3 linked regions of the Drosophila melanogaster genome follow. The protein of the gene in region 3 binds, or shares a complex with, the protein of the main gene of each other region. Each region holds a gene or a part of one and is shown on either strand. Other genes may lie near its edges.

Evidence for each region. Proteins that work in one complex are often made in the same cells at the same time.
Region 1: eIF3c (region 3) and eIF3a share a complex: the UniProt entries of both Drosophila melanogaster proteins name them as parts of the eukaryotic translation initiation factor 3 (eIF-3) complex.
Region 2: eIF3c (region 3) and eIF3f1 share a complex: the UniProt entries of both Drosophila melanogaster proteins name them as parts of the eukaryotic translation initiation factor 3 (eIF-3) complex.

Annotation. Positions count from the first base shown.
Region 1 is NT_033777.3:4,429,259-4,435,669, reverse strand, and holds eIF3a (eukaryotic translation initiation factor 3 subunit a), read left to right. Parts: upstream 1-1,774; 5' UTR 1,775-1,922; coding exon 1,923-1,971; intron 1,972-2,068; coding exon 2,069-3,153; intron 3,154-3,203; coding exon 3,204-5,442; intron 5,443-5,501; coding exon 5,502-5,551; 3' UTR 5,552-5,872; downstream 5,873-6,411. Other genes in the region: CG1074 (uncharacterized protein), read right to left, coding at 1-163, 220-1,015, 1,484-1,609. UniProt on the Drosophila melanogaster protein: RNA-binding component of the eukaryotic translation initiation factor 3 (eIF-3) complex, which is involved in protein synthesis of a specialized repertoire of mRNAs and, together with other initiation factors, stimulates binding of mRNA and methionyl-tRNAi to the 40S ribosome.
Region 2 is NT_033777.3:4,712,343-4,715,942, reverse strand, and holds eIF3f1 (eukaryotic translation initiation factor 3 subunit f1), read left to right. Parts: upstream 1-1,760; 5' UTR 1,761-1,857; coding exon 1,858-2,700; 3' UTR 2,701-3,061; downstream 3,062-3,600. UniProt on the Drosophila melanogaster protein: Component of the eukaryotic translation initiation factor 3 (eIF-3) complex, which is involved in protein synthesis of a specialized repertoire of mRNAs and, together with other initiation factors, stimulates binding of mRNA and methionyl-tRNAi to the 40S ribosome.
Region 3 is NT_033778.4:17,663,861-17,669,784, forward strand, and holds eIF3c (eukaryotic translation initiation factor 3 subunit c), read left to right. Parts: upstream 1-1,817; 5' UTR 1,818-1,956; intron 1,957-2,171; 5' UTR 2,172-2,206; coding exon 2,207-2,299; intron 2,300-2,361; coding exon 2,362-5,001; 3' UTR 5,002-5,125; exon of another isoform or gene 5,126-5,171; 3' UTR 5,172-5,415; downstream 5,416-5,924. Other genes in the region: CG30108 (uncharacterized protein), read left to right, coding at 5,626-5,772, 5,827-5,924. UniProt on the Drosophila melanogaster protein: Component of the eukaryotic translation initiation factor 3 (eIF-3) complex, which is involved in protein synthesis of a specialized repertoire of mRNAs and, together with other initiation factors, stimulates binding of mRNA and methionyl-tRNAi to the 40S ribosome.

The DNA of each region.
Region 1 (6,411 bases), on a different chromosome or scaffold from region 3:
AGTTTTAGGTGCCTCGCAGAGAACTCGAGAAGATCCCCATAGAGACTCTGCAAGGAATAGTGCGACGTTGATGGGTAATGCACCATGCTGTCACTTCTAGTGTTGGCCTTTACGCTAGCCTTTTTCTCCACCTTTTCCGTGGCCTCTCTTATTCCATAGGGAGCTTAAATTACCAAAGAATGAACATTTTAAGTTTGGTATAAAAAAGAATAAACCTACGATCTGTTATTATGCAGTCGAACGAGATGCGGGAATGCCACACCGGGTTGGAGAAATCGGCCACCACCACATCCATGTAGCGATCAGCGCAGCCGTACTGCTTCAAGTTGGCCCGAATGCTCTCGTCCTTCTCCCGCACTTTTTGGGTTATCCGGCTCGGCCGGCAGCGGGCGTGCACCATCATGTAGTCTATGTCCGCTCCCAGGACATACCCGCCCCACTTGGCGGCGCTTACCAAAAGCGAGCCCGTTCCCACAAACGGATCAAATACCAGATCCCCATTGCGTACCATCGCTTGGTTGGCCATTAGCAGGCTCAGCTGGGCGTCCATGCTGGTGTTACCGATAAACTTACGATGCTTCAGCGAAAGCTCCTTGATCAAATGCCGCTGACCATGGGCCATCAGCCGACCAAACAGAATGTCCTCCGGCTCAGGTGGCACAGCCGTTGGATCCAAGCCCCAAAACTCGATGTACCACCACTCCACCACGGGTTTCTCCAGATTGACCGTTCCCTCTATTGGCAGGTAATCCATGGACTCGATTTTCTCAACCTTTTCCCTCTGGCTGAAGTGCTTGTTGTAGGTCTCCACAACGATCTTAAAACTGGCATCCACCCGAAAGTATTCCGCAAGCGAATGCCAGTTCGCGGTAACATGATTCCGTAGCCTCTGGTGAAACTCGGGTAATTTGTTGGAGTGGGCGTAGAGCTCGAACATGGCGCGCAACGAAACGGACCTGGATGCATATAGCAACGCAGTATCCGTGTCCCGAAATTCGACCAACCAAAATGGTTTCTGTAATACCGAAATTAAAAAATATAAATATAACTATATATGCTGATGCTTCTATACTACAGAAGTATTTATATATGTGTCGCAAGCTCTAAAAATAATGTAATCAAAGTATCCTACACTAAAAACATCTAACAGGTACGCGGATCGTATTCGTAATGTATGTATACCAGGTATCAGGTATCCTTTCGAAACCTTTTAGGTTTTGTAGTTCCTGAGATCTCAACGATCGTATATAATTTATAGCTAGTAATGCTAAATTTCTACCTGTTGAAAACACTTTTGAAAATATAGTTTACTATTTTCTTCCTCTTACAAATACATATAAAATTTTTTTACGTTAAAAATATTAAACATATTAATAAAATTCCAAGTTTGGATATAACATTAAACCACAGGTTTTAAAAGTTATAGGGGAGGTGGAATTTGTTAATCTTGCGTTTTCAAAATTCTGGTACTAAAACACTTTACCCTGGTGTGTTCTGTAAGCCGCCGGACCTGAAGTCCAAACATTTTGACCAGCGAATCAAACTCCTGCACGCGAAAGTCGACATGCTCCTGGGCGAACCACAAGATAAACTTCCTCCAGTTGACCATGTCGCTATTTTAATTAATGAATTGTTTATTTATATTCTAGAGCGACTTCATTACTCCTCGTGTTATTGCTGTGAGCTAGCGGAGTTGCACTGCGATTAGCTGACCATCGGCAACTATCGGCCTGAACTATCGATAACGCAGCCAGGTGTAGCCCTGCGTGCCGTCGACTCGGCCATTTTGCATTAATATTGCAGCCACACGTAGGCGAGCCGAAGATTTATACAATTTTCAGCAGCCCCAGGTCTCAAAACGCTCCAGACCTGCTATCAAAATCAACTTGAAGTGCCGCCGCAAGTAAGTAAAGCGATCGGAAATGGCCCGCTATACGCAACGTCCGGAAAACGCCCTAAAAAGGGCTAATGGTGAGTGCTGAAAATTTTCCATGCGGTGTCTGAAGAGAAACTTTCGTCTTCGCGAATCGTGTGCTCTCTTAACTCGACGCCGCTCTCTTCGTCACAGAGTTCATTGAAGTGGGAAAGCCGCTTAGGGCGCTGGACACGCTGCAGGAAGTTTTCCGGAACAAGCGATGGAACTATGCCTACTCGGAGACGGTCATCGAACCGCTCATGTTCAAGTACCTGTACCTCTGCGTGGAACTCAAGAAGTCGCACATCGCCAAGGAGGGACTATTCCAGTACCGGAACATGTTCCAGCTGGTGAACGTGAACTCTCTGGAAAATGTAATCCGCGGCTACCTGAAAATGGCCGAAGAGCACACAGAGGCTGCCCAAGCCCAGTCCTCGGCGGCCGTTGCTGTTCTGGAGCTGGATGACCTGGACAACATTGCCACGCCAGAGAGCATCCTAATGAGCGCAGTGTGTGGCGAGGACGCACAGGACCGCTCCGACCGCACTATTCTGCTCCCGTGGGTCAAGTTCCTGTGGGAGTCCTACTGCCAGTGTCTAGAGCTGCTGCGCGTAAACACGCATTGCGAGGCGCTGTACCACGATATCGCTCGCATGGCCTTCCAGTTCTGCCTTAAGTACAACCGCAAGAGCGAGTTTCGCCGCTTGTGCGACAAGCTGCGCAAACACTTGGAGGACATTTGCAAGAGCAGCAACCAGACCACCGGTGTCTCGATCAACAAGGTGGAAACGCAGCAGCTCTGCTTGGACACCAGGTTGTACCTTCTTGACTCGGCCATCCAGATGGAGCTGTGGCAAGAGGCCTACAAGGCAATCGAGGATATCCATGGCCTGATGGCTCTGTCCAAGAAGACACCCGTGCCCAAAACCATGGCCAACTACTACCAAAAATTAGCCATGGTCTTTAGCAAGGCCGGCAACCAGTTGTTCCACGCTGCAGCGCTGCTGAAGCTCTTCCAGCTGACGCGCGAGCTGAAGAAGAACCTGACGAAGGACGACTTGCAGCGTATGGCTGCCCACGTTCTCCTGGCCACTCTTTCTATTCCGTTGCCTTCGGCCCATCCAGAGTTCGACAGGTTTATTGAGGCGGACAAGAGCCCCCTGGAGAAGGCGCAGAAGTTGGCCGTGCTTTTGGGCCTGCCCCAGCCACCTACTCGCGTCTCCCTTATTCGTGAAGTGGTAAGTATCACGCAATATAGTAATGACTTATGACTAATTCATAAACACAGGTGCGCTTGAATGTTCCTCAACTCGTATCTGAGGACTTTCGCAATCTATACAACTGGTTGGAGGTGGATTTCAACCCACTGAATCTGTGCAAGCGCATTCAGTCTATCGTGGACTTCATTGAGAACGGGCCCGAAAACGCTCTGCTCACTCCTTACATTCAATCGCTGAAGGACGTGACTATAATGCGTCTGATTCGTCAGATCTCTCAGGTTTATGAGAGTATTAAGTTCCAGCGTCTCTTGCAGCTGGCCAGTTTTTGCAACATTTTTGAATTGGAAAAACTGCTGGTCGAGTCCGTGCGTCACAATGACATGCAGATTCGTATTGACCACCAGAAGAACAGTATCTATTTCGGCACTGATCTGACCGAGAGTCAACGCGAGTACCGCCCCGACGGACCCGCTTTGCAATCGATGCCCTCGGAACAGATCCGCTCTCAGTTGGTTAATATGTCTACTGTTCTGACACGGGCAGTTTCAATCGTCTACCCGAACCGTGAACGTGACCAGCGGGCCAAGCTCCGCAACCAGATGGTAAACCATTACCATGAGATCAAGGATCGCGAGCACCAGCGTATTCTTCAGCGACAGAAGATCATCGAGGACAGAAAGGAGTACATCGAGAAGCAGAATAATGCTCGTGAAGAGGAAGAGGCGCGGCGTCAGGAGGAGGAATCGCGGAAGGCCAAACTGGCCGAACAGAAGCGCCTCGAGCAGGAGCAAGAAGAAAGAGAGCGCAAGCGCCATCAGAACGAAATCCAAGCCATCCGGGAGAAGAGTCTCAAGGAGAAGGTTCAGCAAATCTCGCAGACGGCTCATGGTAAGAAGATGCTTTCCAAGCTGGATGAGGAAGGCATTAAGAAGTTGGACGCCGAGCAGATCGCCAAGCGGGAAAGCGAGGAACTTCAGCGCGAGGCCAAGGAACTGCAGTCGAAACTCAAATCGCAAGAGAAGAAAATCGACTACTTCGAACGCGCCAAGCGCCTGGAGGAGATACCGCTTTTCGAAAAATACTTGGCCGAAAAGCAGGTTAAGGACAAGGAGTTCTGGGAAGCAACCGAGAAGACACGCATCGAGAATGCCATTGCCGAACGGAAGGATGCCGTCGCCCAGCAGGAGCGTCTCAAGCGCATGTATCCGGACCGGGATGAATTCCTTGAGGCCCTTAAAAAAGAACGTGCCTCCCTCTACGTCGAAAAGCTCAAAAAGTTTGAGGCTGCTCTGGAGGCAGAGCGCAAAAAGCGCTTAGCCGACCGCATTATTCGACGCCGCGAGGAGCGCCGACAGGCCTTCCTTCGCGAGAAAGAGGAGGAGCGTCTTCGCAAGGAGGAAGAGATTCGCTTGGCACAGGCTGCCGAAGAGCGCGCCGCAGCAGAAGCCCGCCGTTTGGAGCGTGAGGCTGAGGACGAAAAGCGTCGTGCCCAATACGAAAAGCAGCGTGCCAAGGAGGAGGAAGCTGAGCGTAAAATCAAGGAAGATCGAGACCGCCTGTCCAGGGAGTTGGCCTCGGAGCGCGAACGCACTGAAAAGGACCGTGACACATGGCGTCCTCGAGGCGGTGACCGTCCAAGCGCATCTAACGGCGGATCCAGCGAGTGGCGTCGTGCTGCACCTGCGGCCAGTGAACGCAACGACCGTGGTGGCGAGCGTATCGAGCGCGGAGGAGAACGGATCGAGCGCGGTGGAGAACGCCTCGAGCGTGGTGGAGAGCGCATTGAACGAGGCGGTGACCGTGACCGCAAGGACAACGAGGGAGCGGACTCCTCTTGGCGTGTGCGACGAGAGCCAGATTCACAGCGTGCAGCTGCTCCCAAAGACAGTGGCGCTCCGCAATCGCGCGATGACAAGTGGCGGCGTGGCGGAGAACGTGACCGCGATTTCCGCATTGATGGGGCTCGTCGCGACAGGGATGATGGGCCTCGGCGTGACCGTGACGATGGTCCTCGCCGGGATCGTGACGATGAGCGCGGTGGATTCCGCCGCGCCGACGGGGCGCGTCGTACCGACGAGCCTCAGCGGGAAACTGGAGGGAACTGGCGCGACGCTCCACGCCACGCTGATCGGGAAACCCGTCGCCCAGCTGAGAGGCGCGACCGAGATGTGCGCGAGACTCGTGGCGATCAACGCGGCTCTGCTCCTAAGGAGGCAGCCAGTGGCGGAGTAGGCGGAAACTGGCGTACTGCTCCTGCGACCCGTGAGGAAAAACCAGCAGCTAAGCGCGATCAAGCCCAGGAAAAGGGTAAGTAATCTCAGCAGCAAACCTAATTTCCATTCTTATCAATGCGTTACATCTTTCAGAGAACAAAGCTGGCGATGATGGCGAGTGGACCAGCGTTAAGCGTCGTTAATTTTTATTTTCATCATCGTATATACCCAGCATAATATTCTTAATAAGTTTTTATTTCATCCGACTTGTACTTTATTGGTGTAGAGCTCAGTCGGCCGGTATATTATATCTATCTATCCAAAGCTTGTGCCAGATAGTTAAAATTGAGATGGTTGTAGGACCGATACTAATTAAAGTACTTTCGAATAAAATAACTATGTTCTAAAAAATTGAAAAGTGAAATTGTCGAATGAGAACCTTGGGAATCAAAGAAATGAAAAGTGGTTATTATTGGTTTAATTCAAAAATTCTAATTCTTATTTATCAGATTTCAGGATGAACCAAGCTTCCCTTATACGTACAGTGATTTATAAACCAGTCCCTTTAAATTTATATTTCGACAGAGCTAAAACTACATTAAAATGTAGTTTGCAAACTAAACAAATGCGGGTTCTTCTATAGTTTTACAAAGTTCGTTCTTGGAAGCGTGGCTTTTTAACATTAGGTTTTTTAATTGCCCATAAATAAAAAATGCATTCAAAAGTATTGTAAATTGTATTATCACATACGCTTGACTTATTTTAAAAAAGTGACATCTTTCTTAGGTAAAACCATATTCGTTGGGAATAAATTCGAGTAAATTTAGAAAAGCTTTTATAGCAAGCAAAACAAAAATATTCTGCCTCTGAAAATTTGCCTCGATAATATGAGCCCGCGCCTTCTTCGCACACTCAACTAGTATTTTCTTGCGAACTTGGCACTAATGCCATGGCCTCGCGGATCCTCCGCGGTGCGCGCCCCTGGTCACACTGTCTGTGCCGCTGCCGCGAATCTCGGTCCACGTGAACAAATTTTGGACAATGTGCTATACGGTACTCATGA
Region 2 (3,600 bases), on a different chromosome or scaffold from region 3:
TTTTGCTTAATTAAACGCATTTTTTTTATAAAATATAATTAAACAATATTTATTTTACTTATAAATCAAAAAACAAATTAAAAATATTAAATATACAAGAAAAAAAACAACAAATTCCAAGTTTAAACACTTTTGAGACTGTCAAGAAACTCTTTACACAAAACACTAAATCGATGTTTAATCCTAAATTTTTAAATTATTTTATTAAAATTTTAAAAGTTTTGGTATGTAGTATGTTCCCCATTGGCTTTAGCTACAAGTTGAAGCCCTTTTTTCATGGAATGGACAAGTTTTTGCAGGTCATATTCAAACGGGATCTTTTCACACTCTTCGACTATTACAGTCATAAGCTGTTGTCGTGTTTTAGGTCCCTTTTTGCCACCTTCTTCTTTAAGTAGGTCCACAAATTTTAAATGGGGTTCAGATCAGGACTCTGAGGGGGCGTATCGATCACTTTACCACAGTTATAAGGGCGCCAGGTGCGTACATTGCACTCTTTATGTTTCTGATCATGTCCTCTTAAAATATAAAATTTGGCTTGTTGTTGCTAACTAGACCAAATTTTTCTGCACCGGCCTTCAAATTTGTTTTTTAAGATTCCTAGATATTGCACGGCATTTATTGTGCTCTAAATTAAGGCTAGTTTTCCCACTCCATGGCTGGTGATACAGCCACAAACCATCAGTGACATTTTTCCAAATTTTATCGTTGGAATGATATTTTGTTTTTCTAGCGCACTCAGCGGTTTGCGCCATACTCTGCTTGGCCCGTCGTTATAAAAGAGCATAATTTTTGTTTCGTCACCAAATATGACGTCATCCCAGTACTCTTCTGGATGATCCACCTTGTTCACAGCGAATTAATGACGCTTTTCCATATTGGCATCTGATAGCAAAGGATTTTTCCTCGCAACTCTTGAAGAGTATCTATGGCGTAGGATGACTTGGCGCACAGTTTCGTGTGACACAGTTAGGTGACACTCTTGCCTGATATCCAGAGCAAGTGATCTGACCGGGGGTTCGCAATCTCTATTCGCATAATAAAGCGGTCTACACGCTTTTTAATTTTAATTTTCCGCCCACCACCACTCTTAGGTTCAAGCCTGTCCTCTTTTTCCGAGCCTTTTAAAAAATAGTAGACGGTCTTACGGGATACAGAAAACATTTATACTTATTCTGGAAAAGATTTTCCCAACTGGTGGTTATAGTTTATTAATTGGGTAACTTCAAAGTTTATCTCTTTCCAGGCATTTTATTAAATTTAATAATTCGCTTTAAGCACGTTTGATCAGCAAAATTTCACAAGCAAGATTGAGTAGTAGAATGTAACCGACATTTTGTTATTGATCCGTTATGTTAAGAATGAGCAGCGAGCAATGAAATTCACGGAAAGCGTTCCGTTATTGAGTGGGCATCATTTGTGTGGCTGTTGTTGTTGTTGTATAGTTTCTGGAAACGAAGTAAGGATGAAATAATTGAGTGAAGGTGAGGAATAGAAGAAAAGCATCGCGAAGGCGACGCTTGAGTAAATTAGTCTGCTTAGAACGACAGAAGAAACAACACGCAGGCGACTTGATGTGCTGGACAATATGGACGCTGAAGTAAATGAAAAGTCGCGCTTGGCATCTCCGACATATTCAAATTTGAATAGTATTTGATTAACTAACGCTAGCCACCGGTTTTACATCGATAAAACGATAGGCCACGCACGACCGCACCGATAGCTCCAAAAGCCATCAACCCCCACCCGCACTATCGATAGGCCCTTTTCTTGCATCCCTAAAACATACGCGCAGCGTGGCTGAATAGAAATTATTGCGGAAATTTTCCTTGCAAATCTTGGCCACCGAAAATTACCATGTCGGCTCTCAATCTGACCGTGCGCGTGCACCCGGTGGTGCTTTTCCAGGTGGTGGACGCCTTCGAGCGGCGGAACGCGGACTCGCACCGCGTCATCGGCACCCTGCTCGGCTCTGTGGACAAAGGTGTGGTGGAGGTTACCAACTGTTTCTGTGTGCCGCACAAGGAGCACGATGACCAGGTGGAGGCAGAGCTGAGCTACGCCCTGGACATGTACGACCTCAACCGCAAGGTGAACTCCAACGAGAGCGTGGTAGGCTGGTGGGCCACCGGCAACGACGTTACCAACCACAGCTCGGTGATCCACGAGTATTACGCCCGCGAATGCAACAACCCGGTTCACCTCACCGTGGACACTTCGCTGCAGGGCGGACGTATGGGTCTGCGTGCTTATGTCTGCATTCAACTAGGAGTTCCCGGCGGCAAGAGCGGCTGCATGTTCACGCCCATTCCTGTCGAGCTGACCAGCTACGAGCCGGAGACATTTGGGCTCAAGCTGCTTCAGAAGACCGTAGGCGTTTCGCCCGCTCACCGTCCCAAGACCGTTCCGCCAATGCTGGACCTGGCCCAAATCTCGGAGGCCTCCACGAAGCTGCAGTCCCTGCTGGATCTTATTCTCAAGTACGTTGACGACGTGATCGCTCACAAGGTAACCCCCGACAACGCCGTCGGACGCCAGCTGCTAGACCTTATCCACTCCGTGCCGCACATGACCCACGAGCAGTTCACTCAGATGTTCAACGCCAACGTACGCAACCTTCTGCTGGTCATCACGCTCTCCCAGCTCATCAAAACCCAGCTGCAGCTTAACGAAAAGCTCACCTTCCTGCCCACCGCCTAGAACGACGGCGTTTGTTGAAGTGGTAATATCTACTAAGGGTGGCATTGTAAACTGATTGTGTTTTTTATCAATGGGGGTCTACGTAATAAAGTGCTCTGATCGCCAAAAAAAAAAACCAAAACTTGTATCGATTACTCTGGTCAGAATGACATTCCATACTAAAGAAAATATATATGGGATTATCTTTTTTATAACTCAATTGAAGAATCAGCATGAATCCTGTGACACCTACACTAAACGACCATGTGGCGTTTGTAGGAGCATTCGAATCTACTGAAGACTCTTAAACACAACAGTATTCATCACCAGGAACAAAATAAATGCATGTGCAACTGAAAATTTAGCACCCAACTGCTAAAACAAAATGTTGTGTTTCAGTCTTTGGTGAGCTTCACTATTCTATAGGGTTTCAGGGAGTCGCATCGGTGCTGGGTTTATTGTAAGAATAGTAATATTTATATTCTTTAATATCAAACTTTGATGATCGTACCTTCGGCACACAAAAGTTATAATATCAAATTTTGTGACGAAATATGACAACACATTCTATTAAAAACTAGTTTCTTACATTTTATAACCAGCACCTCGTTGCATCATATGCGTTACTTAACTTTCAATTGTTTGGTAGCACCAGGATAAACTTGAGCTACGCCTACACTTTTCTGTGCAATCTGCATCCTTAATCTTCTAGCATTTATAGTTCATGAGATCTTGACGTTCATGCGGACAAACATGGCCAGATCGACTGCGCTGATTCTTGATCCTGGTGAAGAATAAAAGGTACTCTAAAGAGCATAAAAAAACACACTTTTCATATGAAAGAAGGACACAAAGGGGCTCCAAGATTTCCCCGTATGCCTTAATATATAAATTAATTAAAAAAAAAACTTTTCATATGAA
Region 3 (5,924 bases):
AAGAAACTATTCAATTTATTCGCAAAAGAGTTTTGTAGTAAGCGGACATTAATTTTACAATATGCTCCATTATATTAAAATATCCATAGGAATTAAAATATTTTCAAATTGAGAGAAGGCAAATTATTAAAAATATAATATTATCGAATAAGAAATACTTTATTTCAGGAAAATATTTATCTAAATATAAAGCCATTTTTTCTGTGTAATGGATGATGACGAATTGAATGAAAAAGAAGTGCATCGGTTTTATCAATAAAAACTAAATTAAAATGGAGGCAGGAACGTGGGAGTAGTTATTAGGAATTATTCATTGAAATTGCGTAACTCAACATTTGTATTCAATCAACAGGAAATCTATGCTCGAGCAAGGGCAGAAATCGCATTTAAATGGAAATTTCTATAGTCTGTTTCGAGCATCGGTTTTGAAAATATCCAACCCATATATAGGATTTATGGGGCCGCACAAGCCGTAACAATCCAACGGAAAACGGAAGCAAAATAAACAGCACAAAAGCGTAACGGAAACAGAAACAGAACCCCAGGAAAAAGGGGCCCGTTTTTGCCGATTTGGATGTATGTAAATGCATATAAGCTTTTGCACCCACACACAATTTACGATTGCAGCTGCAGTTTCGGAGGAGTCAAGGAGCAGAAACCCGTACTATTTCACGGACCCTTTACGGATTCAAATGTCGATAGGCGGACAGGGAATTTATGGAGCTCTCATCAATTTCTCCGGATAATAAAGCCGCCATATGCACTCTCGAATGTCAGCTGTCGAAAAGCCAGGAAAAGGGCGATTACGCGAGATTAACCGATCAATTTTTAATTTGCCATTTCCGAGACCGCAGATACACACATCTCCATCAATCTGCAGTTATTATTTATTATGCTTACATTTGCGTTAAAGTGTTTTCCGTGTTACTCGTGTTTTCAAGCGATTCCGGGCGTCGCATCTCATTTAGGATGCCACTTAAACAGGATGTGGATGGGCAGAGCACATGCCACGCACACACCGCACACTTGGGCCAAATTTTGTTTACACCGCCAAGACACAACACAACACACAAGAATTCAAATGAATGAATTTATTGAATTCTTTTTAGCGGGCCGCAAAAGCACTTGAGACTCTATCGCCGGATATTGGCATCAACGCTGCCAAATCGCCGAGTACATCCGAAAAATTGAGTTTTTGAACTTGAACTGTCCGTCGGCGCGGAGGAGAGAACGCATGCGACTTGTTGGCGCGCGCGAAAACGTTTGGCTTGGTTTTGCTTTGGCCTTTCCTTGGCTGCCTGGCTGCATGTTGGCCGGACCAATTGATCCGGAGATTGGTTGGGGCGCCAGAATGGGAACCCCACTCTGTTTGGCTAAGAAATGCCGGCACTTTTGCACGCAAGCGCAGCAACATGTTGCTGGCAACTTCAAATGTTGCAGGTCACCAATGCAACATCTATGTAAGCATTGATCACTGATTATCTTTTTAACATTATTTTGAATAGTTACTTAAATGGCCACTATTTCATTTTGATGATATATTTGCTATGTAATTTAATGGATTTATTTTAAATGTACCGCCCAACCGGTTACTTGATATCGATATATCTCGAGAAGTGCCGGCATTTCGTTATCGATGAGTACGCGCTCGCATTCAGTCAAAACAGTGACTCCCTTAGAGATGGGATAGATTTCGGTAACTGTTGGTCCGCCACATAAAAAAACAAATGTTCTGTTACATTTAAAAAAATGTTTAAAACGCTCTCCTTACGAATATTAGTAGAGAGTAATCATTTCTCAACATGACAGTTATTATTAATACATAAATCAAACGCCCCGCCCCGTGACTTTGAGCAATATATATCGCCAACGAAAACACATGCAACCATCGCCCATCTCTAGTCTCTCTTTTTGATGTCTTGTGCATTCGACATCGTTTAGTTTTGCTGTAAAATAGTAAGTTTATTGTGAAATATCAAACGCCAGGTGGTAGTAAACACTTAAAAAGCAAGGCAGTGAACCGATTTCTGCCAGGGCTTCGAATGAAACAACCAAATGTCATGCGGAAATATTTGGCATACGTTTTTGCAAAACGCCATGTTGGCCGCTCAAACATAACCTCAACAAAGCAAAATCTTATGTGGCCCGAAACTAATAAATTGTGATTCCAGGCGCAGACAAACGGCCGCGTAGAAAGTCAACAAAGATGTCGCGTTTCTTTGCCAACGGGTCCGAATCGGAGTCCGAGTCCAGCGAGGAGGAGATCCAAGCGACCAACTTCAACAAAGCCAGCGCCTTCGTAAGTGCCGCCCAGATGTGAAACTCATCCATTACTAATCTATTCCTTTCCGTGGAAAACAGCAATTCAGCGACGATGAGGAGGAGGTCAAGCGCGTGGTCCGCTCCACGAAGGAGAAGCGTTACGAGAACCTCACCAGCATCATCAAAACCATTCGCAACCACAAGAAAATCAAGGATATTCCCAATACCCTGAGCAGCTTCGAGGATCTGACGCGCGCCTACCAGAAGGCACTGCCGGTCATCTCAAAGGAGGAGAACGGCATTACGCCGCGATTTTACATTCGCTGCCTGGCCGAGCTGGAGGACTTCATCAACGAGGTGTGGGAGGATCGCGAGGGCAGGAAAAACCTTTCCAAGAACAACTCCAAGTCGCTGGGCACTTTGCGCCAGAAGGTACGCAAGTACATCAAGGACTTCGAGGACGATCTGTCGCGTTTCCGTGAAGCACCCGACCAGGAGAGCGAGGCCGAGGACGAGGTGGTTGCCCTGGAGAGCGACGGCGGCGATGCTGGTGATGACAGCGACGCCGGAGTGAAGCCTACAGAAGCGGTTCCGAAAGCTGTGAAGTCCGCGCCGGCAAAGGCTGCGCCCGCCGATGATGACGATTCCGATGACTCCATTGATTGGGACTCGGACTCTGAATCGGAGACCGAGTCCTCTGACGATGAGAACCAGTATCAGAACATGCGCGAGCGATTCTTGAAGCGTACTACCGAAAAGGAGGAAAAGGATGATGACAAGAGGAAGGACAAGCGTAAGGAGCAGAAGACCAAGATCCGCAAGCGCGCCGAGGACGATGAAGATGGCGAGTGGGAGACTGTGGTCAAGGGTCATGTAGTAGAGAAGCCCAAGATGTTCGAAAAGGACGCAGAGATCGATGTTCCCCTAGTGCTGGCCAAGCTGTTGGAAATTATGTCGGCTCGCGGCAAGAAGCGCACCGATCGCCGTCTGCAGATCGATCTGCTTTTCGAGTTGAGGGACATCTCTGATCAGCACAACCTGGGAACCGCCGTCTCCGTGAAGATTCATTTTAACATCATCTCGGCTATCTACGATTACAACCAGAAGATTTCCGAGCCCATGAAGCTAGAACACTGGGCCCTGCTTCTGGAGGTAATGCAGAGCATGATGAAGCTCCTGCTGGCCAACGCCGACATTATTATGAGCGAGAGCGTGGCCGAGGAGCATGAGGAGTACGCTACGTCACCGTTTTATGTGAGGGGATGCCCACTGGCTGCCGTGGAGCGCCTGGATGACGAATTTGTTAAGCTGCTGAAGGAATGCGATCCACACTCCAACGACTACGTGTCCCGGCTGAAGGACGAGGTGAACGTGGTTAAGACTATTGAACTGGTGCTGCAGTATTTCGAGCGCTCTGGCACCAACAACGAGCGCTGTCGCATCTACCTGCGCAAGATCGAACATCTCTACTATAAGTTCGATCCGGAGGTGCTGAAGAAGAAGCGCGGTGAGCTGCCAGCCACTACCTCCACCTCCGTAGACGTGATGGATAAGCTGTGCAAATTCATCTACGCTAAGGACGATACGGATCGTATCCGTACGAGGGCCATCCTGGCGCACATCTACCATCATGCTATGCACGACAACTGGTTCCAGGCCCGTGATTTGGTGCTGATGTCTCATCTGCAGGACAACATTGATGCCGCCGATCCCGCCACCCGCATCCTGTACAACCGTATGATGGCCAATCTGGGTCTGTGTGCCTTCCGCCAGGGCAACGTCAAGGATGCGCATCACTGTCTAGTGGACTTGATGGTCACCGGCAAGCCCAAGGAGCTGCTCGCTCAAGGACTGCTGCCTCAGCGCCAGCACGAGCGATCTGCCGAGCAGGAGAAAATCGAGAAGCAACGCCAGATGCCATTCCATATGCACATCAACCTTGAGTTGCTTGAATGTGTCTACCTGGTGTCCGCTATGCTGCTCGAAATTCCTTACATTGCCGCCCATGAATTCGACGCCCGCCGCCGCATGATCAGTAAGACCTTCTACCAGCAGTTGCGTTCCTCGGAGCGTCAATCACTGGTGGGTCCACCAGAGTCGATGCGTGAGCATGTCGTGGCTGCTGCCAAGGCTATGCGTTGCGGCAACTGGCAGGCGTGTGCCAACTTCATTGTCAACAAGAAGATGAACACGAAAGTGTGGGACCTCTTCTACGAGTCTGATCGCGTGCGCGAGATGCTGACCAAGTTCATTAAGGAAGAATCGCTGCGCACCTACCTGTTCACCTACTCGAACGTCTACACCTCGATCAGCATTCCTTCGCTGGCGCAGATGTACGAGCTGCCCGTGCCGAAAGTGCACTCCATCATCAGTAAGATGATCATCAACGAGGAGCTCATGGCCAGCCTGGACGATCCATCCGAAACCGTGGGTATGCATCGTTCGGAGCCATCGCGTCTTCAGGCCCTGGCCATGCAATTCGTGGACAAGGTCACAAATCTGGTGGACGTCAACGAAAAGGTGTTCGACATGAAGCAGGGCAACTTCTTCCAGCGCGGCAACATGGGCAATCGCGGTGACCGTGGCTACAACCGCAACCAGAACAACCAGGGCGGCAATTGGCTCGGCCAGCGGCGGGATCGCAACAACCGGAACCGTAACCAGCGCGGGCACCACAAGAACAACCAAGATAGGCAGCAGCAGCAACAGCAACAAGTCCAAACGATCGACGAGGAGTAGACGTTGCTGCAACCTCAGCCCATCCTCTCTAGCGAGCGTTAGCTTAAACATCAGCAAAACTTAAACAGATCAAATTTGTAGCACTTCGACTATTAAAATGGAATGGCCATGGACAACACGTTGGGTCACATGCTTTCAGGCCTCCGATTCGGTTTCAGGCTGGGTCGGAGGTCTGTTTTTATCATGTCCATTGCATATTGTTGTAGCCAAGTCACACGAACATTTGTTTCAGCGCTCATTACGTTAAATGATAATACTAATAACTACATTTTGTATGAACCCAAAACCGAAAAAGAAACCTTAAAAACAAGAGACACAAAATCAGTGACTTTTTTTTGCAAATTTTTACCAACAACTAATATTAAATTTATATGTACTAACAAGAGTATTATTTTAGTCGGCTTAACACTTTGGCTTTTGAAAATTTAAGAAAACTAAGAATAACATTTGAATTTCGATGACAAGCTTCGTTTTCTGCAAAACTTCGGATATCGATATGCTCTTTTTTTCTCACATCTCTGAAACCTTTTCTTCAGTAGTACCGTTCGACGTACCTTTGTCACATTTTTTCGGAACTCTATAATAGGCATTATAAATTAAAACCAAAATATACCTAGTAAACAAATGAGCAGCGTTGGCGAGGATTGCAACGAGCTGAAGCAGCAGTACGATGCCTGTTTCAACAGCTGGTTTTCTGAACGCTTCCTAAAAGGTCAAATGGATGACTCAGCGTGTGCTCCGATTTTCCGGGTTTATCAGGAATGCGTCAAGGTGAGCTAATCGGCTCCCTAACCACGTATGGTTTGACCAACCTGTAATCCCCAGCGCGCTATTAAGGAGAAGAAGATCGATTTGCAAGAGATAGATCCGATCTTCGAAACCGGGCTTGAGGAGAATAATGCGAATAGATCTGATGCAAAACA